Oryctolagus cuniculus: one gene and its partners. The protein of the gene in region 1 interacts with the protein of each later gene in a pairwise test. Links are inferred from orthologs where the notes say so. Each region holds a gene or a part of one and is shown in the gene's direction. Other genes may lie near its edges.

The links.
Region 2: the proteins of MTUS2 (region 1) and RAB3IL1 interact in binary tests that used the Homo sapiens proteins (3 or more experiments, as listed by UniProt). The two-hybrid records come from large-scale screens. The link is inferred for Oryctolagus cuniculus from reciprocal best matches to the Homo sapiens genes MTUS2 and RAB3IL1.
Region 3: the proteins of MTUS2 (region 1) and TP53RK interact in binary tests that used the Homo sapiens proteins (3 or more experiments, as listed by UniProt). The two-hybrid records come from large-scale screens. The link is inferred for Oryctolagus cuniculus from reciprocal best matches to the Homo sapiens genes MTUS2 and TP53RK.
Region 4: the proteins of MTUS2 (region 1) and FAM161A interact in binary tests that used the Homo sapiens proteins (3 or more experiments, as listed by UniProt). The two-hybrid records come from large-scale screens. The link is inferred for Oryctolagus cuniculus from reciprocal best matches to the Homo sapiens genes MTUS2 and FAM161A.
Region 5: the proteins of MTUS2 (region 1) and SNW1 interact in binary tests that used the Homo sapiens proteins (3 or more experiments, as listed by UniProt). The two-hybrid records come from large-scale screens. The link is inferred for Oryctolagus cuniculus from reciprocal best matches to the Homo sapiens genes MTUS2 and SNW1.
Region 6: the proteins of MTUS2 (region 1) and DCX interact in binary tests that used the Homo sapiens proteins (3 or more experiments, as listed by UniProt). The link is inferred for Oryctolagus cuniculus from reciprocal best matches to the Homo sapiens genes MTUS2 and DCX.
Region 7: the proteins of MTUS2 (region 1) and DCTN4 interact in binary tests that used the Homo sapiens proteins (3 or more experiments, as listed by UniProt). The two-hybrid records come from large-scale screens. The link is inferred for Oryctolagus cuniculus from reciprocal best matches to the Homo sapiens genes MTUS2 and DCTN4.

What each region holds. Positions count from the first base shown.
Region 1 is NC_091440.1:85,068,008-85,071,181, reverse strand, and holds the end of MTUS2 (microtubule-associated tumor suppressor candidate 2), read left to right. Parts: intron 1-53; coding exon 54-270; 3' UTR 271-2,674; downstream 2,675-3,174. UniProt on the Homo sapiens protein: Binds microtubules. Together with MAPRE1 may target the microtubule depolymerase KIF2C to the plus-end of microtubules. May regulate the dynamics of microtubules at their growing distal tip.
Region 2 is NC_091432.1:10,248,226-10,252,512, forward strand, and holds the start of RAB3IL1 (guanine nucleotide exchange factor for Rab-3A), read left to right. Parts: upstream 1-1,487; 5' UTR 1,488-1,634; coding exon 1,635-1,789; intron 1,790-4,287. UniProt on the Homo sapiens protein: Guanine nucleotide exchange factor (GEF) which may activate RAB3A, a GTPase that regulates synaptic vesicle exocytosis. Promotes the exchange of GDP to GTP, converting inactive GDP-bound Rab proteins into their active GTP-bound form.
Region 3 is NC_091442.1:12,878,750-12,882,704, forward strand, and holds TP53RK (EKC/KEOPS complex subunit TP53RK), read left to right. Parts: upstream 1-1,437; 5' UTR 1,438-1,489; coding exon 1,490-1,766; intron 1,767-2,876; coding exon 2,877-3,355; 3' UTR 3,356-3,455; downstream 3,456-3,955.
Region 4 is NC_091433.1:140,953,143-140,956,642, forward strand, and holds part of FAM161A (protein FAM161A), read left to right. Parts: intron 1-1,363; coding exon 1,364-1,596; intron 1,597-3,500. UniProt on the Homo sapiens protein: Involved in ciliogenesis.
Region 5 is NC_091451.1:23,450,505-23,454,672, reverse strand, and holds the start of SNW1 (SNW domain-containing protein 1), read left to right. Parts: upstream 1-1,368; 5' UTR 1,369-1,482; coding exon 1,483-1,496; intron 1,497-4,168. UniProt on the Homo sapiens protein: Involved in pre-mRNA splicing as component of the spliceosome. As a component of the minor spliceosome, involved in the splicing of U12-type introns in pre-mRNAs.
Region 6 is NC_091453.1:82,194,930-82,198,429, forward strand, and holds part of DCX (neuronal migration protein doublecortin), read left to right. Parts: intron 1-1,875; coding exon 1,876-2,013; intron 2,014-3,500. UniProt on the Homo sapiens protein: Microtubule-associated protein required for initial steps of neuronal dispersion and cortex lamination during cerebral cortex development. May act by competing with the putative neuronal protein kinase DCLK1 in binding to a target protein.
Region 7 is NC_091437.1:37,940,892-37,944,391, reverse strand, and holds part of DCTN4 (dynactin subunit 4), read left to right. Parts: intron 1-101; coding exon 102-209; intron 210-1,366; coding exon 1,367-1,387; intron 1,388-1,784; coding exon 1,785-1,858; intron 1,859-1,975; coding exon 1,976-2,088; intron 2,089-2,760; coding exon 2,761-2,870; intron 2,871-3,500. UniProt on the Homo sapiens protein: Part of the dynactin complex that activates the molecular motor dynein for ultra-processive transport along microtubules.

The sequences.
Region 1 (3,174 bases):
TCCAGCTGCGCACCTGCTCACGCACTGCCAACTTTGTCCTTTTCCCCGTGCAGACAACTGTCAGAGGAGAACGCTAATCTGCAGGAATATGTGGAGAAGGAGACCCAGGAGAAGAAGAGACTGAGCCGAACCAACGAGGAGCTGCTTTGGAAGCTGCAAACCGGGGATCCGACCAGCCCGATTAAACTCTCCCCAACGTCTCCAGTTTACCGAGGTTGCGCCTCCTCGGGGCCCTCCTCTCCAGCCAGACTCAGCACGACGCCCAGATGACGTCACCACGCAGCCTAGGGGAGCTCCGGCTTCCGGTCCACCGCGAGGGCGGACTGACCCGGGGCCCGGCCCGGAGCCGGCCCAAGCGCGCATGCTCAGTAGCTGCATCCTGCCTCGTAGGCCGCGTCCTCTGCCCCCCACCGTGTGAGACTGTCCTGGTGTTGTTGGCATTTAGGAAGGTGTGTGATGTGCAAGCGTTTTACCATAGTTAGCGCCAAAAGAAAGACAACTCCAGTTCTCGAGGGAACTTCCACTGCAGAATTTCAGGTCACAAAAAGCTCAATTTTCAATATACACTCAGCAATCGTTGTGTACTGCACCGAGATGTGTGTGTATTTAGATACACGGATATACACATGCGGCGGTTCTCAGTTGCATTTTTTTATAACGTCAAGTGCTGACATATTTTAGTCACGGTCAGCAGTTTTCTAACTCGTGCCTAAGAATTATTGGGAAATGACAATGCATTTCTATCTAGTTTCCCAGGAATATTTCTACCCAAAATAGAAAAAGGAAAAAAAAAAAAAAAACCATACGGAGCAAAAGCGCCTTTGAACCTACCACCAAGTGGTACTCTATCTAGCATAAACACCAGCCATCTGTGAACGGTAACCGCCTTCGTGAGAGTCAGCGTCTCAGGCCGTCCCAGGTGAGGGCTCCACTCGCAAGGTCTAGTTAGGAGCCGCTCTGCCCTGCGTGGAAAGCCCAGGGGAATCCGCCGCTTTGCAGGTGTTCCGCACCACAGTGACTCAGCTACCGTCTCCTGAGCACAGGTCTTGTGGCATCTCAGAATCGAGCTGTAAACTTTCGGGATCCTTGAGAGAGAGAGAGAGGGTGAGGGTGACCCTGGAGGTGACCGAGACCCTTGGTGCACCATTCCTTAGGAAGGGAAACTGGCAAGCGACGGGGCCTCTGTCTGGACCAGGCTTGCTGCGAGGCTGTTGCTAAATGCGCTCAATTCATTGGAAGCCGATCTCAGACTTGCATTTCCTAGGTAGGTTCCCCACTTCAGTTTGGTTCAGCGACTCGGCTCCGTCACTGCACATGAAGGTGGCTCAGGGGTTCCGGCAGAGGCTTCCAGAAAAGTCATTCTTTCTGGTGGGTGGCCAAGCAGTGCTCCCCCCTCCCCCACACAGTGGTCCTGTCTCCGGCCGAGAAAGCTCCCGGACCGGGGCCGGGGCGCAGTGGCACAGCCGGTGAGGGCTCCCTGGCCACCGGCCTGGCGTCTGTCTGGGACACGATAGCGTTAGGATACAAAGAGGCACCCCCGTGGCAGAGTGGAAGACACAAGTGACAGAAGTAGTTTTGACCGTCAGTGGGGGTGATGGCGCCTTTTGTCTAAGACCCTGTACACCTCTCCCAAAGACCCCTAAAAATCGCCCTGAGCGTAGGCTGGGCTGAGCACACCCAAGGCACGAAGTTCCAGGCAGGGGTCTTGCGAGGGCTCAGAACCGGGGACGGCAGGCAGGAGGCCTCGCAGGGGCGTGCCCAGAACGCGCAGGAGGCCACGCAGGGGCGTGCCCGGAACGCGCGTGTGGCTTGCGTTGGTGACATGAGCCCGGGGGTCGGGCTTCCTGGCCTGGGGGCACATCTCGTTTTCTCTCAACCCTGCAGGGGCCCTGCCCGTGCTGGGGACACCCACGGTAGATAGGCATTGAAGACACATTTCTTTTTGCTTCTGTGGCTCTGCATGCTGCTGTAATGTTGGGGTTGGGCATCCTGTTAGAGTAGATCCTGCCATGATTATTTATTCTCTCGGCGGGCGCAGGCTGCCAACAGCAGCTAGGCTGCAGCTTCGCTGTCTTGCGTAACCGCCGCCTGCCAAACGCAGTCACCCAGCGATACAGACTCCCCCGCGATGTTAGCGTGTGGTGCTGTGTGTTAGGCTGTGCGCTCAAAGTTGTAGCGATGGTAGCGCTAAGTAATCCCTCACCCACCCGGTGGACCAGACCTTTGCCCTGGACAGCCGTGACCTTGGGGTTGAGCTGATGTCCACATGACCCTGGCTTTGTTTTTTGCTTCATGGACGCCCATCACGTCTAGCTCTTCATCTGAGTCATTTCTGTTTCCGAAACACATGGGACAACAGCTAGTGCTGCTGCGCCCCCTCCTGGACATTCCCCTCTGAACACACACAATTAGGACTGGGACTTCTCTCTGCCTCTGTCTCCATTCCCAGCTCGGGGGCAGGGGCCCTTCTCAGACATAGACGCTGCAGCAGGAAAGCCCTGTCTCGTAGCAATCAGGAGACGTGACCGTGGCCTGGGTGTCAGCCTGGGGCGGGAGTGGGATGGAGGTCTGGCACTCTCTGGGATTAGTCGAATGGGGTCACCGCGTTCCTCCTCCCTTCAGTTTCTGTGTTAACGTATCTGTGTTTAAAGCCTATTAAAATGAACATGAGGGACTTTCTGTGATATGCACTTGGTGTCACTGGAGACCTGACCCTCAGGCCGGAGAGTCCAGGCAGGGAGGTGTTGGCAGGCTGGGTTCCTTCCTGTGTGTGTGTGTGAGCACATGCGGGGGCACCTGATTGTCACTGAGAGCAACCCTGGAGACCTCCTCTCCGACCGGTGAATTCTTCAGCAGCGCAAACCGCGGCCTTGGGGGCTCAGTGGCTCCACTCGGCGGGGCAAGGTGGGCTGGTGTGGGTTGGAGGGACACAAGTGGCTGAACACAGTCCCCGCACTATGAGGTTCAAGGTCAGACCTTGATGGCTGTCCTGCACGAAGCTCATGGAAAATGGAATTAAAATATTAATTTATTGGGGCATAAATTTTTTGAAATCCATGCATATGAAGTGTCTTCAAAAACCCACAAAAAGTGTACATTATTAAAGTCATAAACTATGCATAGATTTCACAAATTTCTCACCTGTTTTCACCTGCAAGTGCTCGCTCCTCTCAT
Region 2 (4,287 bases), on another chromosome or scaffold:
TGTGCGAGACCCCAGCGCGCCTTGACCCTGGCTCACCAGTGAATCAGATCTCTCGGACGTCACAGCCCAGCTGTGTCCAAATGTCCAGAGACGTCCATCTTCCCTCCCCCACCCCTGAGGGGCTGGATGGGGCTTGGCAGGGAGGACACTGATTCCCATCCACTTCCACCAGCCGGCCTGAGCCCCCTCCCCTCCTGCTATCTCGGGGTGATGGGGAGACCCCTCCCCCCCACATCCTGTTTTTTCCATTCATTGTTTCCAGGTGAACCTGAGGTCTGAGCCTGGCAGAGGAAGGTGGGGCCATGGGGGAATTTAGCAAGGGGACCCGCGAGGAGCAAAAACAGGAAGGGGGTGGGAGCCAGCCATGGAAAATTCGCTGCTGGGAAAGGGAGGCCAGCATCTGGTTTGCATTAGGCGGAGAAGCTCCGAAGCCCAAAGCCCCGAGGGGCGTGGTGTTGTCCAGCGGACAGGGTGTGGCGCTGTTGGGGGACCAGAGCTGCTCCCCAGCAGGGACCCGGGCAGGCAGACGAGAAAGCAGGAGAGAGAAGGGGAAAGGCAAGTTCCCGTGCAGCCTGCCCGTAGGCAGACTCTTAGCAAACGCGTCTTCTTGGACACTCACAATGGCTGGCTGAGTCCCAGAGAGGTTAAGTGAGCTGCCCAAAGTCACACAGCAAGGACTGGGATCAGAATTCAGGCCAAGGGCGGCAAGGTGGCGCGTTGCAGCCAAGCCACAGCTGGCTGGAGGCAGACCCTGAGCCAGCCCAGGGGGCACTGAGATGGGACTGGTGACAGGGGCCGGCCAGCCTCTGGCTGAGGGTCACTCTGTGCTGCTTGGGGGTGTCCAGAAGTTTCCTGACAAAGCTAACCACATGTCCTTGGGCTCTAGTCCAGTGCCTGCGGAGGAAGCAGGCAATCCACATGGGAAGACTTCCTGGAGGAAGGGGCATGAGCCAGAGAGGAGTTAATCAGTGAGGGTGGGAAGGCATGGAGGCTGCAGATGAGGCATGTCGGGGCAATGGCAGCTGGCCGGGGGTGCCTCAGAGGGTGAGGCACCACTTGACAGTTGGGGAAACTGAGGCATGGTGACGCTAACCTGCCCAAAGCTTCGTAGACGAGAAGGGGAGTTAAAACAGCCTGTCCGACTCCAGATCTGTGGTCTCTACCGCTACACTGAGCTGCAGGGGGATCTGAGGCCGGGGGTAGTGGGGGAAGGGCCTGTGCAAGGCCTGGTCCCATGACAGGACCAGGGCGGGACCAGACTTTCCAAAGCCACAACCTCGGTGAAGTGGAGACAAGCGCCCCATCGGGGGCCTGGCTGAAGCCTGGGGTCCCAGGCTCCTGGAAAAGCTTCCGACCTCCCGACCTCCCCCCAGAAGTGTCTCGCCTTCCCCAGCCCAGAGCCCAGTAGGTTGAGTAGGTTGGCCCCAGGGACTTGTGCCGCCCTGCTGAGCCGCGGGAGTTAATAATTAGGGGTTGAAGGAGGCAGAGGCCTGTCTGGGAGGCGCCTCCCTCCCAGGCAGCTGTTCCCAAGAGATAGCAAAGGTTAGTGTAAGGCTTGGCCAGTCTGCAGAGAAGGCTCTGCCACCTGCCCTCCTGCCGGTCTCCGGAGAGACCCTCTGGCTGGCTCCTCACGCATGGACGACACCACCGAGGAGCCCTCCGGGTGCCCCGCCAGAGGCTCATGCCCAGTGTTCCTGGCCATGAGTTCAGGGGCCGTCCGCTATGCCCCATCAGGCCTGGGCCCTGCGCTGGAGGGGAGCTTGGGCGAAAAGTTCTGGGGCACAGACAGGTGAGCCAGGGACTTGGGTCGGGTGGGGGCAGGGGGATCGCGTCACCCCCAGGGGGAGGGGGCACGGCAGGGATGAGGTGCCAGGTGCCAGGTGCCAGGCACAGGAATCAGGAGAATTGCCTGAGTCTCCTACAAGATCAGCTCCGAGGCGGGGGTGGGGGTTGGGGGGTGGTCTTGATTGTCTTCTCCAGCAGGTAGGGAATGGGGCTCAGAGAGGGCAGGACACTGGCCCTGGGTCACCCAGTGAGCTGAGGTCAGATCTAAGAGTCAGGGCATGGGGCAGCCAGGCTGAGGGTCTCCTGCTCTGCATCTGCCTTCAGCCGTGGGTGAGAAGGGGGTGACCGGACAGAGGGAAGAAGGCTGGGAGGGCAGTGGCCAGTGGGCAGAGACTCGCCTGCACGCTTTCTTTCTTTTTTTTTTTAATTTATTTTATTTATTTGAAAGAGTTACAGAGAGAGAGAGAGAGAGGGAGAGAGAGAGGTCTTCCATCCACTGGTTCACTCTCCAAATGGCCACAATGACCAGAGCTGAGCCAGCCTGAAGCCAGGAGCCAGGACCTTCTGCAGGGTCTCCCATGTGGGTGCAGGGGCCCAAGGACTTGGACCATGCTCTGCTGCTTTCCCAGGCGCATTAGCAGGGAGCTGGATCAGAAGTGGAGCAGCCAGGACTCAAACCAGCAGTATGGGATGGCAGCACTGCAGGCCAGGGCTTTTAACCCTCTGCGCCACAGCGGCAGCCCCATCACCTTCTATTCCTCCCTCCCTCCCTGCCTGCTGGGCCCGGGGCACCTGCCTGACCGCCTCCACCTGCCAGATCCCAGGGAACCCTCTGCTTTCTGGGTTGTCTTTATGGAAAAACAGGTGCAAGAAAATTGGACCCTTCCACCCCTGGCTGTGTGGCATCAGGCAGTTTCCTTGGCCTCTCTGAACCCCTCTTTTTCAGACAAGGGGCAGGGTTTGCCATGCTGGGGTGGGGGCAGGGGAGGCCCAGGAACCCCTGGGGCTGGATGCACAGAGGACCGGATATTTTGGGTTAGTGACTGTCGTCAGCGTTGGCAGAGTGGCGAGCACACACTTGTCCTTTCAGGCCTTGCTCAACAGCCTGCCAGGCCCGAGGACTGGGGCCACAGGCCTGGGTTGACACCTCCTCCACTCTTATCTCCCAGGCTCTCTGCTACCACGGTTTATCTCCCTCCTGGCTTGGAAAGCAAGGGCCTGCTCCTGTGTGTCTTCCCCTCCTTCCCCTAAACAGAGTGAGGAGCAGGAAGAGAGCAGTTGCTCAACACTTGCTTGGTGAAGGATTCGGGCCAGCAAACATATGCTGACATCTGCTTGGGGCCAGACCCTGAGCTGGGCTGGGGTGGGTGGAGGAACACAGCTCCAGGAAGGGGCTGGTCCCGCCTTCTGGAAGCAAAAGTCATGGAAACACTTGCCCTGCAGAGTGAAGGGCATGCGAGGCCTGGGGTGATGATTCCGGAAAGTTTTCGCAAGGTGTGCCATGGAGGGCTGTCCAGGTTGTTTACTGCACAAGATGAAGCAAGGCGTGACATCCAGCCTGCCTCTACTCACCGTCCCGTACTTTGGTGTAAGCTGCTCCTAGCTGGGAAAGGCGTTGTTTTCTATTTTTTTCTTTTAAGATTTATTTATTATTTGAAAGGCCGAGTTACAGAGAGGCAGAGGCAGAGAGAGGCCCTCCATCCGCTGGTTCACTCCCCAATTGGCCACAAGGGCCAGAGCTGGGCCAATCCAAAGCCAGAAGCCAGGAGCCAGGAGCTTCCTCTGGGTCTCCCACATGGGTGCAGGTGCCCAAGGACTTGGGCCATCTTCTACTGCTTTCCCAGGCCATAGCAGAGAGCTGGATAAGAAAAGGAGCAGCCAGGACTCGAGGGTCTCCACGCCAGGCGGTGGCTTTATCCGCTAGGCCACAGCGCCCGCCCCAGGCGTTGTTTTCTATTTCCAACAGAGACACCATTGGCTCTGCAAGATGTGCCCTGGGCAAACAGTGGCTCTGGCAATGGAGGTCCTGAGAGTATGCTCCCTACCCCCATCCCCCATGCCCCCATGACCAGGAGGGCAGTGTCTGCGTCTGTGTGGCCTCCCCCTGGGTCCCCATCCCTTGCATTGGTCCATGGTTTGTGCTCACAAGGGGAGTGAATGAACGAATGAAATGCATCCCCAGATGAAGACCTGATACACTCAAACCTGGGTCCCAGGGCCAGTGAGCCTGGAGTGGAGCACCCAGGGTGCTAGTCTCATCTAGAAGGGGAAGTGCCTCCCCTGACACCCTGGCCTCCTCCAGACAGGCAGGGTGGGGATGGCACCCCCAGCGGGAGAGAAGGGTTACGGATCCAGTCCCAAGTTTGTGGAGGTCTGTTAAGGCCCGGTGGCGGCTCAGGGCAGGTGGTACAAAGGGACCGGGAGCGTGGCCAGGGATGCAGGGAAAGGTTTTGCAGGGAACAGACAGGTGTGGGGCAGGGGAGGGGACTTGGGCCAAAGCTG
Region 3 (3,955 bases), on another chromosome or scaffold:
AAAAGACACAGACCTTTGGAAGGGCAGTTTGGCTGACGGATCGGATTTTAAAGAGCTTGTCTCCTGCACCCAGTGACATCACTTGTAGACAGACGTCCCCAGAAACACTTGTGCATGCTGCAATGAATGATGCCTGGATCAGCCTGTTCATCGCAGCGTTTCGTAAGAGAAAGTAAAACGACAATAAGAAATGTACTAAAACTTAGCAACAAGGAACCGTTTGACCCTGTAGAAGGATGTGGCAGCTCTAGATATTCTGATAAGGAAGATTATCTGGGACAAACTGCTTAGGGGGAAAAAAGCAAGTAGCAAAATAATGTGCATCATATTCTCATTTCTGTTGGGGGAGAAGCCTCACAATGATATGTGTGTGCATGCACATTGTATAAAAACATGTGGAGGGGCTGGCCCTGTGGGGTAGCAGGTAAAGCTGCCGCCTGTGACCCGCCATCCCACGTGCGTGCCGGTTAGAGTCCCTGCTGCTCCACTTCTGATCCAGCTCCCTCCTAATGGCCCGGGAAAGCAGCAGAGGGTGGCTCGAGGCTTCAGGCCCCTGCACCCTGTGGGAGACCAGGAAGAAGCTCCTGGCTCTTGGCTTTGGCCTGGCCCAACCCTGGCCATTATGGTCTTTTGAGGAGTGAACCAGCAGGTGGAAGACCTCTCTGTCTCCTCCTTTCTCTCTGTAACTATTTCAAATAAATAAATACACGAATCTTTTAAAAATGCATCTAGAAAGGCATGATACATATAAAGTTCTGTGGGGCCTGGTGAGGAGTATAGCAATCTTTGATGACTGAGTGCAAAATTCTTTATAGCAAGAATCTGTTACTGCTCCTATCAGCCTTGTGATAAAGTCATCAATTTCTGCAACACAGTTAGGTTCTGTCCCCTCTCGGCCCCAGTGATCTGGCCATCACCATAGTCCTGAGTCTGTTTTCTGTAAGGAGGGTTTTCCACCGTTTAACCTTATTATTCCCCAAGGCGCTGAGAGAAACGGTGGTTGCTATCCCAGCACCCGCTCTGACTGCAGTGAGCCTTGTGAGTTCCGAAAAGGCTCTACTGGCCGCAAAGCTTTCCAGGATCCTGAGGAACTCCTGAGAAGGGCAAAGAGCACCCCAAAAATCGTTTTAATCGAAAGTAGCCGAAGTTTTCCGGAAAGAGCCGAAGAACTGGGAGCCGAGCACCCCCGCCCCCGGCAGCTCGCCAGCGTCACCGAGGGCTTCCGGAAAGTGCCGAGCAGTGGTGAGGAACGATTTCCCGAGAGTTGCCGAGCGTTTACGGAGATAGCCGAAGGGCTGGGGGCGGAGTCACAGAGCCGTTCGCTGCGGGCACCAAAGGCTCTGACAGGAGCCGAAAGTTGGGAGGCGGAACCATTTTCCCAGGGCGGAAGTGTTGCAGGGGGAGCCGCTAGAGAGGCGGAAGAGCCCGGAGGATTTTCGGAGCGAGCGGAAGCGTCGCCGGCATTTCCGGGGAGGGCGGAAGCGCTGCCATGGCGGCCCCCGACGCTGGTGCCACAGAGAATCACGAAGAGCCCGCGGCGGAGGCGTTGGCCGCGGCCCTGGAGCGGAGCAGCCGCTTCCTGAGCGGCCTGCAGCTGGTGAAGCAGGGCGCCGAGGCGCGCGTGTTCCGCGGCCGCTTCCAGGGCCGGGCGGCCGTGGTGAAGCACCGCTTCCCCAAGGGCTACCGGCACCCGACGCTGGAGGCGCGGCTCGGCCGGCGGCGGACGGTGCAGGAGGCGCGGGCGCTGCTCCGCTGCCGCCGCGCAGGTGAGGCGGCGCGGCCGGGGCCTGGGGGTGCACTGGCGCCTGCCGCCCGGACCCCCGGTCGGGACGCGTCGTCCTCGCGCCCGGTCTCGATGCGCTCCGGGCGAGTTGCTGGCGCGTTTGGGCCCTGACTGTTGCTCGGTGGTGCACGGTTGCTTTGCCGCCTTGGCCTTGGGTTTTCCCGCGTGCGGTGTCAGGGTTTCCGTCACAGCAGCCGGGCTCTCTGGGCTCGCGTCTCGCGCAGCCTCGGCGTCCTTGCCTGCAAGGCGGCAGCGGTGCTGGGGAGCCCGCCTCCGGGGGCGCTGTGAGCGGTCGCCGGCTGTGTTTGAATGTCAGCCTGGCACGTGTTAGACTTCATTCGTTCATTTTTTTCATGAAAGCACCCCTGTGCCCCGCCGCCGGGAACTCCGACCTCAGCCGAGAACCTGGGGCTGGGAGAGCGGCAGCAGCTTTCCCGGGTCACATCCTCCCGACCTCCTGCACACCAGGGCCATGTCGGGGGCTGGGAGGCGCGGGGAAGCTGGGGGAGAGCAGGCGGACAAGTCCCGGGCGTTTCTGCGGTTCCGGAAGCTGCGGGCGTCTGTGTTCACCCCTCTCTGCGCTGCAGGCGCCGTGCAGCGGGGATCGTGGGCTGTAGCCCCGGGAGAGGTCTCCGTTTCTAGAACGTGGCCTCCTTGACTGTGCGCACTGAGGGTGGCGACCCCATGAGTAGCATAAACCGAGGTCGCACCGCTGCTAAGCGCAGGGATCGGACTCCACCCTTACAGACTGCGAAATGAGCCTCCCCGTGGCCACTCTGCCGGGCTCCGTTGTGTCCAGAAACTTCTGTCTGGGCCGGGCCTCCCCTGCTGGCTCCCAGGTTGGTGTGAGAACTAGGGTTCAGCCCCAAGTTGTAGTGTGGGGAAGGAGGAAGCTTTGGCCCCCCTACCCCGGGCTGTTTAATGGTCTCAGGCCTGAGCCCGAGAATGTTCCAGAGTCGAGTTGTGCCGTTTCCTAAAGCTGTTTCCTGAAGTGAGTAAAGACTGGAAGACTCACTTAACTTTGAAAATGAAGCCTTGACTAAGGGAAAAAACCAAGAATGCAACCCAGTAACCCCCCGCGTCTTGATTCCAGGCATCTGTGCCCCAGTGGTCTTTTTCGTGGACTATGCTTCCAACTGCTTGTACATGGAGGAAATCGAAGGCTCAGTCACGGTGCGGGATTATATCCAGTCCACCCTGGACTCTGAAGGAACCCCCCAGAGCCTCTGTGGCTTGGCCAAGGCGATCGGGCAGGTGCTGGCTCGGATGCACGACGAAGACCTCATCCATGGGGACCTCACGACCTCCAACATGCTCCTGAAGCCCCCGGCGGAGCAGCTGAGCATCGTGCTCATCGACTTTGGGCTGAGCTTCGTCTCGGGGCTTCCGGAAGATAAGGGCGTGGACCTGTACGTCCTGGAGAAGGCCTTCCTCAGCACCCACCCGAACACCGAGCCCGTGTTCGAGGCCTTCCTGAAGAGCTACGCCAGCGCCTCCAGGAAGGCCAGGCCAGTGCTCCGAAAGCTGGACGAAGTCCGGCTGCGGGGCAGAAAGCGGTCGATGGTCGGGTAGGACGCGAGGCGGCTCCACAAGGCTAGGCCGATCTTCAGGGTAAATCTGGACTCTACAAACGTGAGACTAGGCCTCAATAAATGTATCGAGCTGTTTTGAAGCCGTGTGTGTGGTCATGCCTGTTGAGTGTCGCCATCTGCAGTGAGTATTCCTAAGAGCTTGCGTGAGGTGCTCCAGGCAGAACTGGGTGTTTGCAGTCAATCCAGGACTGGGCATCAGCTTAGCGGTTGAGACCCCTGTGTCCTGTCTCGGGGTGCCTGGGTGTGGCGCGACCGGCTTCCCACCAGCGCTGATCCTAGGAGGCTGCAGTGATGGCTCGAGTAACCGGCCCCTGCCATCCCTGTGGGAGACCTGGATTGCCTTCCGGGCTCTGGTCCCTGCCTAACCCCGGCCATCGTGGGCGTATGAGAAGTGAACCAGTGCAGGGGAGTGCACTCTCTGCCTTCATCTGTCTGTCTCTTGAGTGAATGATTCACGAGAAAGTCAATCCAGGGCAGGCCTGCCTTTCAGCTTTGGTGTGTAAGCCTCAGGTGCGTAGACATAGCATCGAAAGCAGCCTGTGGCTGGGTGAGCAGAACGTTCGCTGTCGGTGCTGCTGGT
Region 4 (3,500 bases), on another chromosome or scaffold:
CTTTCCCAGGAAACAAGCAGAGAGCTGGATCAGAAGTGGAGCAGCCAGGACTCGAATCAGCACCCAAATGGGATGCCAGCATTGCAGGTGGCAGTTTTATCCATTACGCCACAGCACCAGCCCTAAGGATCCATAATTCTCTTTAGCAAATAGGCTTTTTTTGTTCTGAGTCTGTTCCAGGCAGTAGGCTAAATTTAAAACCAGGGTTGGCAGCCTTTTATGCATAGTATCATAAATAATTTCAACTGTTTCTCAACTGAGAACATGTTAACAATTTTTATATCCATGGAGAAAATGGTGTTTTATCTCCTTAGTTGCTTCAATTGAAAGCATGGAAAGGAGTGAGGGAAAGGTTCCAGGCAGACCCTTCCAGGCATGACTTGTATATTAAGTACAACCATGTGTTGCCCTTGTCTGTTCTCTCTCTCCAGTCCTTGTCATGCCTGCTGGAGTGGCTTGGTGAAAATCCCTCCTGTGCCTCCCCATGACCCCTGACTCTGGTCTGAAGTCTCACCCCACTGCTGGCTTCTCGATACACCACTGAGAACTATGTCTGCCCCATTCCCTTGCCTTCTCCACGGGGGCACCCTTTAAGCCACATGGCAGGAGCCTGGCTCCGGGGAAGGCACTGAGCTGTGGTGGCTTGGTTTACAGCAGGTGGACCTGTGTTCCCTTGTCATCTCGCTTGAAACTCGCAGCCCAGAAGGAGGCTCCTTAAGAAGCTCTTTGTGAAGGGTGGTTTGGTTCTATCCTATGATTAAATGAACATAATGGATTAAATAGCTTTTTTTTTTGATTGATCTGGGAATCTAACCATTCTTTATAAAATGGATTAAGTAATATTATTTCCTGGCAGTTCAGTCTCACTGCCTCTTGTTCTTAAAATATCACTAAGGGTAAATTTACATATCCCACAAGTAACTGATAGCCTAACTAGTTGGACCCTTTAAGAAGCAGTGTTTGGGGGCCAGCATTGTAGTAGTGTGTTAAGCTGCCACTTGCAACACTGGCATCCCATGTGATCACTGGTTTGAGTCCCAGGTACTCCACTTATGATACAGCTGCCTGCTAATGCACCCGGGAAAGCAGCAGCAGATGGCCCAAGTAGCTGGGCCCCTGCCACACATGCTGGAGACCTGGATGGAGTTCCAGGCTCCTGGTTTCAGCCATCTGGGGAGTGAACCAGCAGATGGAAGATTTCTTTCTCTCTCTGTCTCTCCCTCTCTCTGTAACTCTGATTTCAAATAAAGAAATAGATCTTAACAACAACAACAACAACAACATGGGAGCAGAATTTGGATCAGTGTTAACTGAATTTGTCTTTCACACACAAACATTATATCATGAGTGTTTTCTCCCACAGGTTGATTTTAACACCAACTTCTCTGGGGTGGATAGTGGTATGAGCTATGAGGACTTTGTAAACTTTTCTGACATTTACCACTCCAATGACGAGTATTTCAGGAAACTAGATGAGCTGAAGGCTGCCCACATGGAAACTATGGCAAAATTAGAGAAACTGTACCACAATAAATTAAATTTAAAGGATGTTCAGCCAGTGATCGTCAGGGAAGATGTTCCCAGTGTCTCTTCGAGGTAAGTGTGGACTCAGTGTTATTTGTGGACTGTAAAATACAATATATACTTACAAGTGAGAGACACAATTATTTCACAGTATTTTCTCAACTATTCTTTTGTATTCTTAATGAGATACAGAGGTGGGATTTATGTATAATATTTAACAGTTTACCAGCTTATGAGATAACCTCTTGCTTTGAGGGCCTTGTAGCAGCTGTTTGGTTATTTTCTCTCTGACTCACCACTCATCGACCTGTGGGCATACATATCAAAATGTTTAGACTGGGCCATTTTAAATGATGAATATTAAAGTTTTTTTTTTTTTCTTGAGATTTATTTATTTGAAAGTCAGAGTTACTGAGCATGTGAGAGAGAAACAGAGAGAGAATCTTCTATCCGTTGATTTACTTTCTAAGTAGCCTCAATGGCCAAGGGTGGGCCAGATCTGAGCCAGGAGCTTCATCTGGTCTCCCACATGAGTAGCAGGGGCCCAAGAACCTGAGCCATCTTCTTCTGCTTTCCCAGGCCATTAGCAGAGTTGGATGAGAAGTGGAGCAGCTAGGACTTGAACCAGTGTCCATATGGTATGTAGGCACTATAGGCAATGTTTTCACCCACTACGCCACAGCGCGGGCCCCCAGTGGTTTAATTGTAAAAGACTTTAATAGGGGCCAACGTCGTGGCATAGCAGGTAAAGCCCCAACTTGCAACGCTGGCATCCTACATGGGCACTTGTTCGAGTCCCGGCTACTCTACTTCCTATCCAGCTCTCTGCTAATGGCCTGGGAAAATAGCAGAGGAGGGCCCCAGGGCATGGGTCCCTGTACCCGCATGGGAGACCTGGAGGAAGCTCCTGGCTCCTGGCTTTGGAGAGGCCCAGCTCCAGCCGTTGTGGCCATTTGGAAAATAAAACAGCAGATGGAAGATCTCTCTCTCTCCCTCTCCCTCTCTCTGGCTTTCAAATAAATAAATAATTTCCTTTTAAAAAATAGTCTTTTGTAATATTTGAATTAACACGAGCTCATTAAAGATATGTACAAAGAGTTCAGCCTTGGACGCATGAGTCTGATTTCCATTTTCAAGATAGTCTGTAATTTCAAGCCCCATTTCTGCTGTGAACCTCTCACTTTGAAACTTAACACACAAGTCCCTTAACTCATCCAGTCCAATGTGCAGCTTTGTGCACCAGACCTTACCTGGGTATTGAAGAGTCAAAGAAAAATGCCCTCAAGGAGCTCAAAGATAGGCTGAGGACCTGACATTGCTTTGCACATGATGTAACTCAGTGTTCCAGAAACAGAGGAGAGTAGGCAGCCGAAACCGTGTATGCAAAGGCGCAGTGGCGTGAGAAATCAGGGTGTTTGTGAGGATTTCACGGAACTGGGTATGACTGAAGAACGGTGACTGGGGCTTTAGGGAGTAGTAAGAGGTAAGACTGGACAGGTAGGCAGGGCTAGTCTCTTTTCTTCCAAAGATTGATTGATTTGAAAGGCAGAGTTAGAAGGAGAGAGGGACTTGAACCAGTACACATATGGAGTGCCTGCATAGCAGTCAGTGGCTTAACCTGCTGCACCATAACACCAGCTCCAGGGCTTTATAGTCTAGACTGTTTTTGTTTTTTAAATTTTTATTGATTAGAGAGGTAGACAGAGTAAGAGCCTCTGTCTTTTGGTTGAATTCCAAAAGCTTGAGGCAGTATGGTTGGCTTGAAACTCAAGCCGGGTCTCCCACGTGGATAGCAAGAACCCAAGTAGCCATTACTGCTGCCATCCAGGTCTGCATTAGTAGGAAGCTGGATTCAAGAGCTGGAGCCAGGAAGTGAAGCTAGAAAATCCTCTCTGGGACATTTTTACAGCATTTTGTGGGTGTCTCAGTTGGCATCTTAACTGGTAGGCCAAAACCCTGCTTCCACACTTTCTTAT
Region 5 (4,168 bases), on another chromosome or scaffold:
TAGTGCCGGCATTCCATATAGTCTCCAGTTCGAGTCTGGCTGCTCCACTTCCAATCCAGCTCTCTGCTATGGCCTGAGAAAGCGGTGGAAAATGGCTCAAGTCCTTGGGCCCCTGCATCTGCGTGGAAGACTGGGAAGAAGATCCTAGTTCCTGGCTTTGGATCTGCGCAGCTGCAGCCATTGCGGCCAACTGGGGAGTGAACCAGTGGATGGAAGACCTCTCTTTCTCTGCCTCTGCCTCTCTGTAACTCTGCCTTTTAAATAAATAAAACCTTAAAAAAAAAACTAAAAGCTAATCAAAACTAAAAGCTAATTAAATCTTTTTTTGAAAAAATAATCTATTTTTTATTTGAAAGGCAGAATTACAGAGAGAGATGGAAAGACAGAGAGGGAGGTCTTCCACCTGCTGGTTTACTCCCCAAATGGCCATAACAGCTGGGGCTGGGCCGATCCAAAGCCAGGAGCTTCTTCTAGGTCTCCCACGTAGGTGCAGAGTCCCAAGCACTTGGGCCAAACTCCGCTGCTTTCCCAGGTGCATTAGCAGGGAGCTGGATTGGAAATGGAGCAGCTGGGACTTGAACCGGCATTGCCTGTACTGCAGGTGGCAGCTTAACCCACTATGCCACAGTGCTGAACCCTGATTAGATCTTCAAACTAAATCTGTCACAGTTTTGACTTTTGACAGGTCTTTGTTCAGAAGCTCAGTCCAAATGAATGGCCTCCTATAAATCTTACTGAATATATTAAATCATATATATATAATGTATGTAGGTATATACATATATATTTATACACATAAGGAATATTCTCAAAGTGACTTGCTAAAGAACACAAAAATACAGTGGGTCTTCAAGAGGTTCATGGAAAATGTATATTATTATAAAAAAAACTGTCTAAATTTCAATTTTTTTTGGTGCATAAAATAACTATATTTTAATTCCCTTTTTTTCTACCAACGGTTTGAACTATCCCAGTTAAATCCCCAGGAGTGTTTGGGGAAGAAAGGGTACTGGTTCAAGAACAGTTTTCTGATTGTGAATGTTCTCAGAGCGTCCAAGAACGCTCCGGTCTCACGATTTCCTACCGTTTCAGAAACCCCATTGTCCTCCACTCAACTTGCTTCGGGCAGCCTCTTATACTTAGACACCTCTTCTAGGTGAATGGGTCTGAGCGGGGGAATAAAATAAAGGCGTTTAAAATGCCTCTCCCCCCACCCTCGTTATTTAGCCAAGGAAATGTCCTGTCATGTGACAGTAAACGAGTAATCAAGTTAGCCATTTACTCTTGACTTCAGGGGCCGTCCTGTAAAACCCCACGGGTCAGAAGAGACCCGAATTGTACTCACGTTTAAACAACTACAAGTCCCAGAAGGCTTTTCGGCGGCGGCGCCTGCGCATCGCGGGTTCTGCCCTCTTCGCTCCTGGTTGCCGGGAAAGACCCGCCCCGCGGCGCTGTCGCTCGCGTTAGAAGAAGCGGAAGAAGATGGCGCTCACCAGGTGGGTTGTTGATTTGGGTCCTTGATACGGAAGGGTCTGGTAGTGCCCCTCTTTTTCATGTCTCTGCCCCGTCGTCTCCAGCCAGGGATCTGGCTTAGGACACAGGAAGAAGAGAGCCGAGAGCTTGGCGAGGGCCTCCCGCCGGTCGCCGCGGCGGCTAGGCCTCCCCGACGCTGGGGTCTTTCCTGAGCGGCCTTGGGTTGAATTCGGCCCCTGGGCAAGGCCGAAACCCTCGGCGGGACCGCAGAAGCTGGAGAGCGGCACGTGTTTTCCGCTGAAGCCCCTTGCGGGTGTGTGGAGCGCGCGCCCTGGGGTCGGCGGCTCCGCGGGACGCGATGGCACCGTGGGGAGCGGGGCTTGCCTACGCGGGCGGAGGGAAGCGCGCGGGACGCGACTGCGCGACGCTCCGGCCGTTGTTCGCTTCTGGCTCTCTCCTTTTCTCTATCCACTCTGTCGCCCCGAACAAAGCTTCCCGAAAAGGGGGATCCGGAACTGATCGGGGAGTCTTCAGTTAGCCACAGTGGGGGCCGCTGTGTCCCCATAGGCGCCAGCGCTCCGCACTTTTAACTTTGAACCTTAGAATTTCTTCGGTGAAATCGAACCACCTTGGAGCGCTGCTGTGCCCGGTTGCCTTGGTAACCAAAGGCCAAGCGCTCCCTTCCTTTAGGAGAAAAAGATGCTCTAAGCGGGAGCTTCCGAGAAGTTACATAATTCCCTATGCGTGACCTGGCTGCCCGGTCTAAGTAGGCAAACTTTCCCCGCGAACTCATCTGGAAAAGTCGAGTGTGAAAAAATGGGCTGCAAAGGAAGCTGTCATTTTAGGGCGTGAGCTTGAGCTCCCTGACCATGCTTGGTTCTCCTCAAGCGTCTTCAGCCAGGCCGATGACACTGAATTTAAAAAAAAAAATTTACGCGACCATTCTTTTGGGAATGACGTTGAGTGCCTTGCTGTATTCAGGCGTTACGTATCCAGGAGATCTGTCTTTAGCTGCAACGCAGATGGGGCCCAAGGCATACAACTATCAAAGTGCTCATTTACATAGATGATAGTCTTAGTGCAAAAAGCAATTAGATGAAGAGAACTGCGTGGATCAAAGAGTTTGCTTTAGAAACTGTTACAGGTAGGTGCGAGGCATTGTGACATAGACAAGTAGGGTCAAGAGAAAAAGTTAGAATTTGAAGTGGATATGCAGGGAAAATACCAGGGATGTTGAGGGTATTGTGTGCTTAAAATCGCAATGGCAGAATGCAGTCTTTAAGTGGCCAGTCTTAGCAACTGTGTTGCTTTTCATATGCTATTTGTATACTTTTAATGTCCTCTATAATAAATCGGTAAACGTTTCCCTGAGTTTTGTGAGCTGGCCTAGCCAGTTGAACTCAAGGAGGGAGTTGTGGAACCCCAGTTTATACCTCGTGGGTGAGGAGTATACCCTGAGCACACTTGAAATTGGTATCTGAAGTGTGGCAGTCTTGCAAGACAGCCCTCAGGATCTGTCAGAATTGAATTGAATTGGACATTACCTGAATGTCTGGAAACTCCCCCCACATCTGGTGTCAGAAGTGTTGGGTGTGTTGTATTGGTTGATGAGTGAGAAACTTTTTCCTATACTTTTGCATTCCTATCTGTGCAGAGCTTGCCTTCTGGTTATATGAGTGAAACAAATCAATAATGCCATTTCAGGTACCAGGTACTGGGAAGACAGTAAAGGGTTGGAGGGTGACTCCAAGTTTGGAATCAAGTGGCTTTTTTGGACAAGGTGGTCACAACTTTAGGAAGGTGTAATTAGTTGAGCAAAGAGATGCGCTGCTAAATGCAGGCTGCTAAAAAGTTGGGGAAGAGTTTGCTGTAAAGGAAAATTGCTTTTAGTAAGTAAATAGACTATGTCATGGTAGAAGGAATAGCAAAGGTAAAGCTCCTGCAATGTCTTTTTAGGGAAAGATGACACGACTGTAGGGACATCAGGATGATGAGTGCGAAGTATCGAGTGAGCTATTTTCTATCTTTAAGGAGCCCCTGTTAGCTGGACAGTTACTGGGAAGTTGGGATGAAAGAAGTTAAATCCGTGGGCCCTGCCTCAAAGTTTGTGATGGTGCTGTGTGAGGATAGATGACTGCACTGCAGTGAGGTGGATATTTCTAGTGATGAAACACAGAGATACACAGAAAGTCTTTTTTTTTTGCCAGGCAGAGATAGAGTGAGAGAGAGACAGAGTTATAGACAGTGAGTGAGAGAGAGAGTTATAGACAGTGAGAGAGACAGAGAGAAAGGTCTTCCTTCCATTGGTTCACCCCCAAATGGCTGCTATGGCCGGCGCATCGCGCTGATCCGAAGCCAGGAGCCAGGTGCTTCCTCCTGGTCTCCCATGCGGGTGCAGGGCCCAAGCACTTGCGACATCCTCCACTGCCTTTCCGGGCCACAGCAGAGAACTGGACTGGAAGAGGAGCAACCGGGACAGAATCCGGCTCCCCAGCTGGGACTAGAACCTGGTGTGCTAGCGCCGCAGACGCAGGATTAGCCTAGTGAGCTGTGGTGCCGGCACACAGAAAGTCTTATGGGAACAGAGGTAGAGATAGCTAACCCAGACTGAAGAAATCATGCAACAGACAGGATGCCAGCTGGTTCAGGAATTTTTTCATTTAATACTTATAAGGTTGATAACTTTCATGATCTA
Region 6 (3,500 bases), on another chromosome or scaffold:
ATGTCTGCATCCCACATCAGAGTCCTGGCTCTGGCTCCAAACTCTGGTTTGCTGCTAATGCAGATTCTTGGAAGAATCAGGTGATGGTTCAAGTAAGTGGGTTCCTACCACCCAAGTGAGAGATTTGCATTGAATCCTTAACTCCTGACTTTAGTCCTGGCCATTGTGAGTATTTGGGAAGTGAACCACTGGATGAGAGTTTTCTTTCTGTCTTTCTTCTGTCTCTCTATCTCTGTCTCTCTCCCTCTCAAATAATTTTTTAAAAGAAAACACTACTCTGTTTCCAGATGTTTGATTCTACTTTTCATATCACAGTACAAGGTTGAGAAAATGTCAGTGGAAAGATCACTAAATTGAGACTCAGGAGATTTGGCTTGTAGTTGTTGTTCTACTTTTTTGCTTCCTGGCCCAAAACAAAAGGCTGCTCATCAGCAATATAAGTATAATGATCCTCCTAAAAATTTAGCACTATCAAAGCCCCAGATGACCATAGTATGGAATACTGAATGATTGTATGATAAAGATGCTCACTATGTGTCAGATTGGATTTGAGGCAAATACAGGAACATCTGGCACATTCTCCTTCACAACCATGAGCTGAATGACAGAGTTACTCCTGGCACATTTATTCATTAAACCACCATATGGGGTTAAGATAGTGTGCACCCAAAATCAAAAGAACTCTATGCGTGCAAGACGATGGTGGTGATAGTGCTTATTTATATAAAATTACATAACGGGCTGATGTTTTGCCTAGTGGTTAAGATACTCACATTCCACATTAGTGTGTCTGGGTTCAATTCATAGCTCCTGATTCCAGCTTCCTGTTAATTCAGACCCTGAGAGACAATGCTAATGGCTCAAGTAATTAGGTTCCTGTCATCCACATGGAAGACCTAGATTGTGTTCCTGGGCCACAGATTCAGTCTGGCCCATCCCTGGCCATTGTGGGCATCTGGGAAGTGAACTAGTGGATGGAAATTCATATTCTCTCTCTCTCTCTCTCTCTCTCTCTCTCTCTCTCCGTCCCTCTGCCTCTAAAATAATAAATAAATAAATAAATTTAAATGACACGAAATCCATTATGTAAATCTTATAAATTTGTGGCATATAATAGACAATAAATGATAGTTCCTACTCCCACTTTTAAATTATTCATGGATGGTTGATCTGTGTAGCTGCAACCTCTGAGCTATCAATTTCAACTCCAAGGAAACTAATTAAAGGATGCATCAATTGATGCTCTTCTGAGATATGGTTAAGTCTTTAGCAAATAAATGAGTTGGCTTTTTTTGCACAGAAGGGGGAGACAAAGAGAGAGAAAGAAAGATAAAGAGACAGAGTTAGTCCTCATCCTCTGTCTCATTCTCCAAATGCTCACAATGGCTGGAGGGGCCAAATCTGGCAAGTGTAAACCCAATCCATTTCTCTCATATGGGTAACAGGAACCCAATTACTTGAACCCTCACTACTGTCTTTCAAAGTCCAAATTAGCAGGAGACTGGAGTCAGGAGACAGAGCTAGGGATCAAACTTCGGCACACTGATATGTGCTTCAGCTGTCCTAACAGGTCTTAACCACTATGCCAAATGCCTACCTCAGGTGGACTTTTAATTACCTACTTGACTGAATTTTGAACTCCTGCCCTTGTTCCATAATCCAGGGTCTTAAATACGTATCTTAGTCCAGATGACTTTTGAAAATGCCTCCATGCCACCTACCCCAGAACCATAGTTCCTACAAACAATGAGGACCACATTAGAGCCCTGAACCACTGAGGTGTTTTTGGCCTATGTTAGTTGTTCCTGTTTCCAAAGGCTAATGACATTCTCAGCCTCAATTTTACCTCCTACTAAGCTGTCTCTTTTGCCTCAGAATGCCGAGTCATGAAGGGAAACCCATCGGCCACAGCTGGCCCAAAGGCATCCCCAACACCTCAGAAGAGTTCAGCCAAGAGCCCCGGCCCCATGCGCCGAAGCAAGTCTCCAGCTGACTCAGGTAACGACCAAGACGGTGAGTGATCTTCTCCTAACTGTGCATGCTGACTTCACTATGTAGGCCAGTACCCTCTGCATGCAGAGGATTGTGTTCCTCATGAGTACTACTGTGTTTCCATGAGTGCAAATTCTGGTAATTCAGAGATCAAAAACTTCAAACGTTTTTGGAATCATGGAGGCACAGCGATAACCTGATTCTACTCAAATGGATGCAGACCAGAAATCTGGCCAATTTGTCCTGCTTGCTGTAATGCTCATTGTCATGATTGTCATCATTGTCATCATTCTCATTCAGCAAAAACATATTCAATGAAATGATTGAGTCAAATTTTAAATTGGAAATCCAAATGGAGAATAAGTATGTAAAAAATGACACCAATAAGTATCAACCAGGTTGATGTACTCGAGCTTCAAATTTGGCTCTGAACTACTTAGAAACCAAAACAAAAAGGAAGTCAAGTACACCAAAAATATACATAAAAGAGATAAAAGGTAGATCATATCATTCTCCCAACGGAGAAAGAAAACGTAGAACTAGTTCTGAAAGAAAACAGTAAGATTTGTCATAAAGATTGTATTTAATGGATAGTGAGTTATCTAAAAAATGTGTTCTATGGATAACCGCCAACCCATGAACTATTTGTTAGCAGTCAGTCTGTGATGAGATTAGTAGCTTGTGCCAAATGTAAATCAACTATGCCACTAGGCAAACTATTTAGTTCAGTTTATATTTCTTGAGAGCACAATTTTATTGATAAAGGCAACAGTGTGTTCATTCATGCACTGGCTCAAACTCTTTATCTTTTCTTGGACTCACAGTTTGAGTGGCATTGATCTAAAGGGCAATGTTTTCTAATTTTTTATTAAAAATAAAGGACCACAGAAGCCCAAGTTCATAAGTTTAGCATACATGCACAGAAAATGTGAGTTCTTCATATTAAGGGCATTTTATGGTCCAGAGGACTTAAACATTTATCTTGGCAAGGTTCAGGATTCATCATGAGAACTCTACTAGCCTAAGAGCCATGGGGAAGTCAAGCACCTTCCATCTGGGGCAACTTGAGCGGCCTGTTGGCTTTGAAATTCCTGTGCCTGGTACAACAGCCTGCTAGGAGTATGCATATCACCAGCCACTAATTTATACTCAGGCAGGGGGAACTAAATTATAAAAAGATAGCCTCATTTTTTCATTCTTACATACTTTCATACTTTGCACATCCTGTTGTCTCACTCCTGGAATGCCATTCCTCTGACCTGCCACTTGTCTTTGCTTGAAAACTGATGTTCATACTTCAAGACCTCTCATAGAGTAGAGATGGCTGTTCTGTTCTCTGTAATATCACAGCATATCATTCATATCTCTGGGATAATATTCGCCAGACTGTGTTGCAAAATGTGTATTTGTTTGTCTGCTTCCCCAACTAGATACCAAGCCCCTCAAAGAAACAAGTCATTACCTTTATTTTTGTATGCTCAGTGCTAAGCACAGTGCCTGACCCCTAG
Region 7 (3,500 bases), on another chromosome or scaffold:
TTTGTCTCCTCTATTACATGTCTGTCAGTGTGATTGTTTAATTTTGTGTGTTTCTTGTTAGCTTTCTTGTGAAACAAATACGCATCTTTGATTTCTTACAGATGAACAAATTGATTGAATATTACCAGCAGCTTGCTCAGAAAGAAAAGGTTGAGCGAGATCGCAAGAAACTTGCACGACGTAGGAACTACATGCCTCTGGCTTTTTCGGTGAGGATTTGCAAGATCTGTGGGGCATAGCAATAGTGACCATTTCAGAAAGTGGCCGTGTCCTTCATTCCTGAATGGTGGGTAGCAGAGAGGGGTCCCTCAGAGTGACAGATGTTTAAGCCCAGCAGTTCTGCTTTTGCCACGTCATCAGCTCTGTTTGAGTTCTTTTGTGTTTTAAGAGTATTTGTGTTTGTTTCTCCATCACTCCCTTTTGTCTTCTGATGGTCCCCCCAAAAAGGCTGCTGTTTAATTGTGTAGACACCACAGAACCCCGCTTGCAGCTTTTGTGAATGACAGAGGGTCTGAAAAGAGAATGGGCAGAGTATGTTCTCTTCACGTCACCCACGTCTCCCACCTTTGACAGCCTGCTGGTAGCCGTTTGCAGCCGTGTGTCCCCACGATGGAAACACTGACATTACACACTTGTTTGGTTACCTAGTCATATCCATGCATTTTAAATTTTTTGCACTAAAATAAATTTACCTTTAAATTCCATTTTTTTAACAACCTTTTTGAAATACCCTTGGATATGCGAGTGGAGTTTTTGTAGGAATTATTTGTGGAAGTCTTTCCCTACCGGTTGCTACGAGTCAGAAGCTAAAGGTTAGGATCTGGAGTTTCTGTTACTTACCTCAAGTTTTATTTGCTCTCACAGAACAGTTTGTTTTCTGTGTTCTTGCTTGAGGCCAGCAGTTTGATATTTAGTAAATAACATTGGTTGAATGGTTACAGTGTGTCAAACCCTGTGCCAAGCACTTTACACATATCATGTTATCCTCACAACAGGTCTTTGGGGTACAGTGTACCCCTGTTGCACACTTGAGGAAATGAGAACTTGCCAAATTGCATCCACATGAGAATTAGTTAAGCCGTTGAAACCTAAAGAATTGTAAGGCTGTGTCAGAATGCCTGGAATAGCGTTTACTACACAGCGACAGTTATGACACACCTGCACTTGCCCGACACTGATGTGCTCGATAATCCAGTGGTGTGATCGGCGTATGTGCTAGTCTGTTCTGTTTAGGAGAGAAGTTCGTGTTAAATGCTTTATTTTTCCAACTTTCCCATGTAACCTGCCTGCTCTATGAGTTTGCTTCTATCTTATGCTGCATATTTTTGTCTCCGTTGCAACCTGCTGCTATTTGGGGGCTCCACAGCAACACACTATTCATGTAGTGGTAAGTTCTCTTTTATGATTCTTGCTGATCCCGAGGAAGTTAGCAGATGATCACTGGTGTTCCAAGAAGATGTCCGTCGTGTGTCTTAGACATTCTGCATAGTTCTTGCCTGAGCCATAGCTTAGATATTTTTAGATTAATAGTAAAACTCACATTTAGTTCACTTTTACTATATTAACATAGTTTCGATCTCTTTGTCTGGTGCCTTTATTATTTTAAGAATAGGATAATGATGTGGGGTTGCAAAGTACTCTCTAAAAGAAGCTTTTAAATTAGCTTTTTTTTTTTTTTTTTGGCTTATTCCCTGAGCTTCTCATGCTTTCCCACCCAGAAATCTTTCAATAAATAGGATGTATAAATCGTCACTTGCTAATAGGAATTTCTGAACTTTGTTTAGGATAAATACGGTCTTGGGACCAGGCTTCAGCGACCACGAGCTGGCACATCCATCAGTACCCTTGCTGGACTTTCGTAAGTGTGGATATTAAACTGAAAAGATTCTCTGTGACAGGAACACTTCAGTTGTTGATGTCCTAGACGTGGCATAATCAGTGGGCCCTGGAGAAATCACTACTTGTTATCTTTTAGCCTTAAAGAAGGAGAGGACCAGAAAGAGATAAAGATTGAGCCGGCTCAGGCTGTAGATGAAGTAGAACCTCTGCCTGAAGACTATTATACAAGACCCGTGAACTTAACAGAGGGTAACTTTAAATATTACTGTACATTTCTAGTCTGCATCTAAGTCTGCTTTGACCACTTGCATGCATTGCGATTTGAGATATTGAAGGGGATTGTTCTGGGTAGTAAAGCAACTTGTAGAAATAAAAGAGAGGGCTGGCGCCGTGGCTCACTAGGCTAATCCTCTGCCTGCGGCGCTGGCACCCCGGGTTCTAGTCCCGGCTGGGGTGCTGGTTCTGTCCTGGTTGCTCCTCTTCGAGTCCAGCTCTCTGCTGTGGTCCGGGAAGGCAGTGGAGGATGGCCCAAGTGCTTGGGCCCTGCACCCGCATGAGAGACCAGGAGGAAGCACCTGACTCCTGACTTTGGATCGGCGCAGCACGCAGGCCATAGCATCCATTTCGGGGGTGAACCAACGGAAGGAAGACCTTTCTCTCTGTCTCTCTCTCTCTTTCTCTCTCTCTCTCTCTCTCGCTGTCTATAACTCTACCTGTCAAAAAAAAAAAAAAAAAGAAAGAAAGAAAGAAAATAAGGAGGTAGATGTCATCAGAGAATTTTTGAATGTTAAATTTCTGTTGTGTGGATTTTTGAACGTCACTGTTCATGGTGGCAGTACTGTTTGATGCAGTTACTGACGACATCTAAGTCTGATTCTGAAAGTCACTGTGACCTGAGCCTGGCTTCTGCTTTCTTGCTAGTGACCACCCTTCAGCAGCGCCTCCTGCAGCCAGACTTCCAGCCAGTCTGTGCTTCGCAGCTCTATCCTCGCCACAAGCACCTGCTGATCAAACGGTCGCTGCGCTGCCGGGTAAGCAGCCCATTCTGTGGAGGTGCATTTGTATGAGAGAAAAGCAAAACTAAAGTAAACATGATTGCTATCTGACTAAGGTAGTAACTGCAGAAGACACCAGGTGTGCAGAACACTGTCGTAAATGCCTTCAATATAAACTCAGTTGGCGTAGCTCTAGCGCAGTCTCAAGTGTTGTTTCTGTTTTACAGATGTGGAAGCAGGCACCTGCAGGTTAAAGACGTAGTGTTAACCACTAAAAGAATAATGATTATTCATCTTCTAGTTTAGTTTGAGGTAGAGGGAGGGAACTATAAAAAATAATTCCAAAGAAAGAAGAAAAATCAGCAAAAAGTTATGGCAGTCTGCAGAACAAATAGTTTCTTTAATAAAGAAATTGTAAAAACGAAACTGAGCAAAGGGCAAAAGGAGCGTTTTAGAGCAGAGCTTGGCAACAGCACTTTCTCTGATGGTGGACTCTCCCACATCTGCACAGAGGCGGAACCACGAGGCACACTTGACATGCGGTCCTATGATGTAGAGCCCTTCATTTTCAGTTATCTAAATAGCTATGTTTGACTAGTGGCTGATGTTTTAAATAACACAGATCTAGGTTAGAAGAGACTTGAGTTAAACACAGTGTGTGGACTT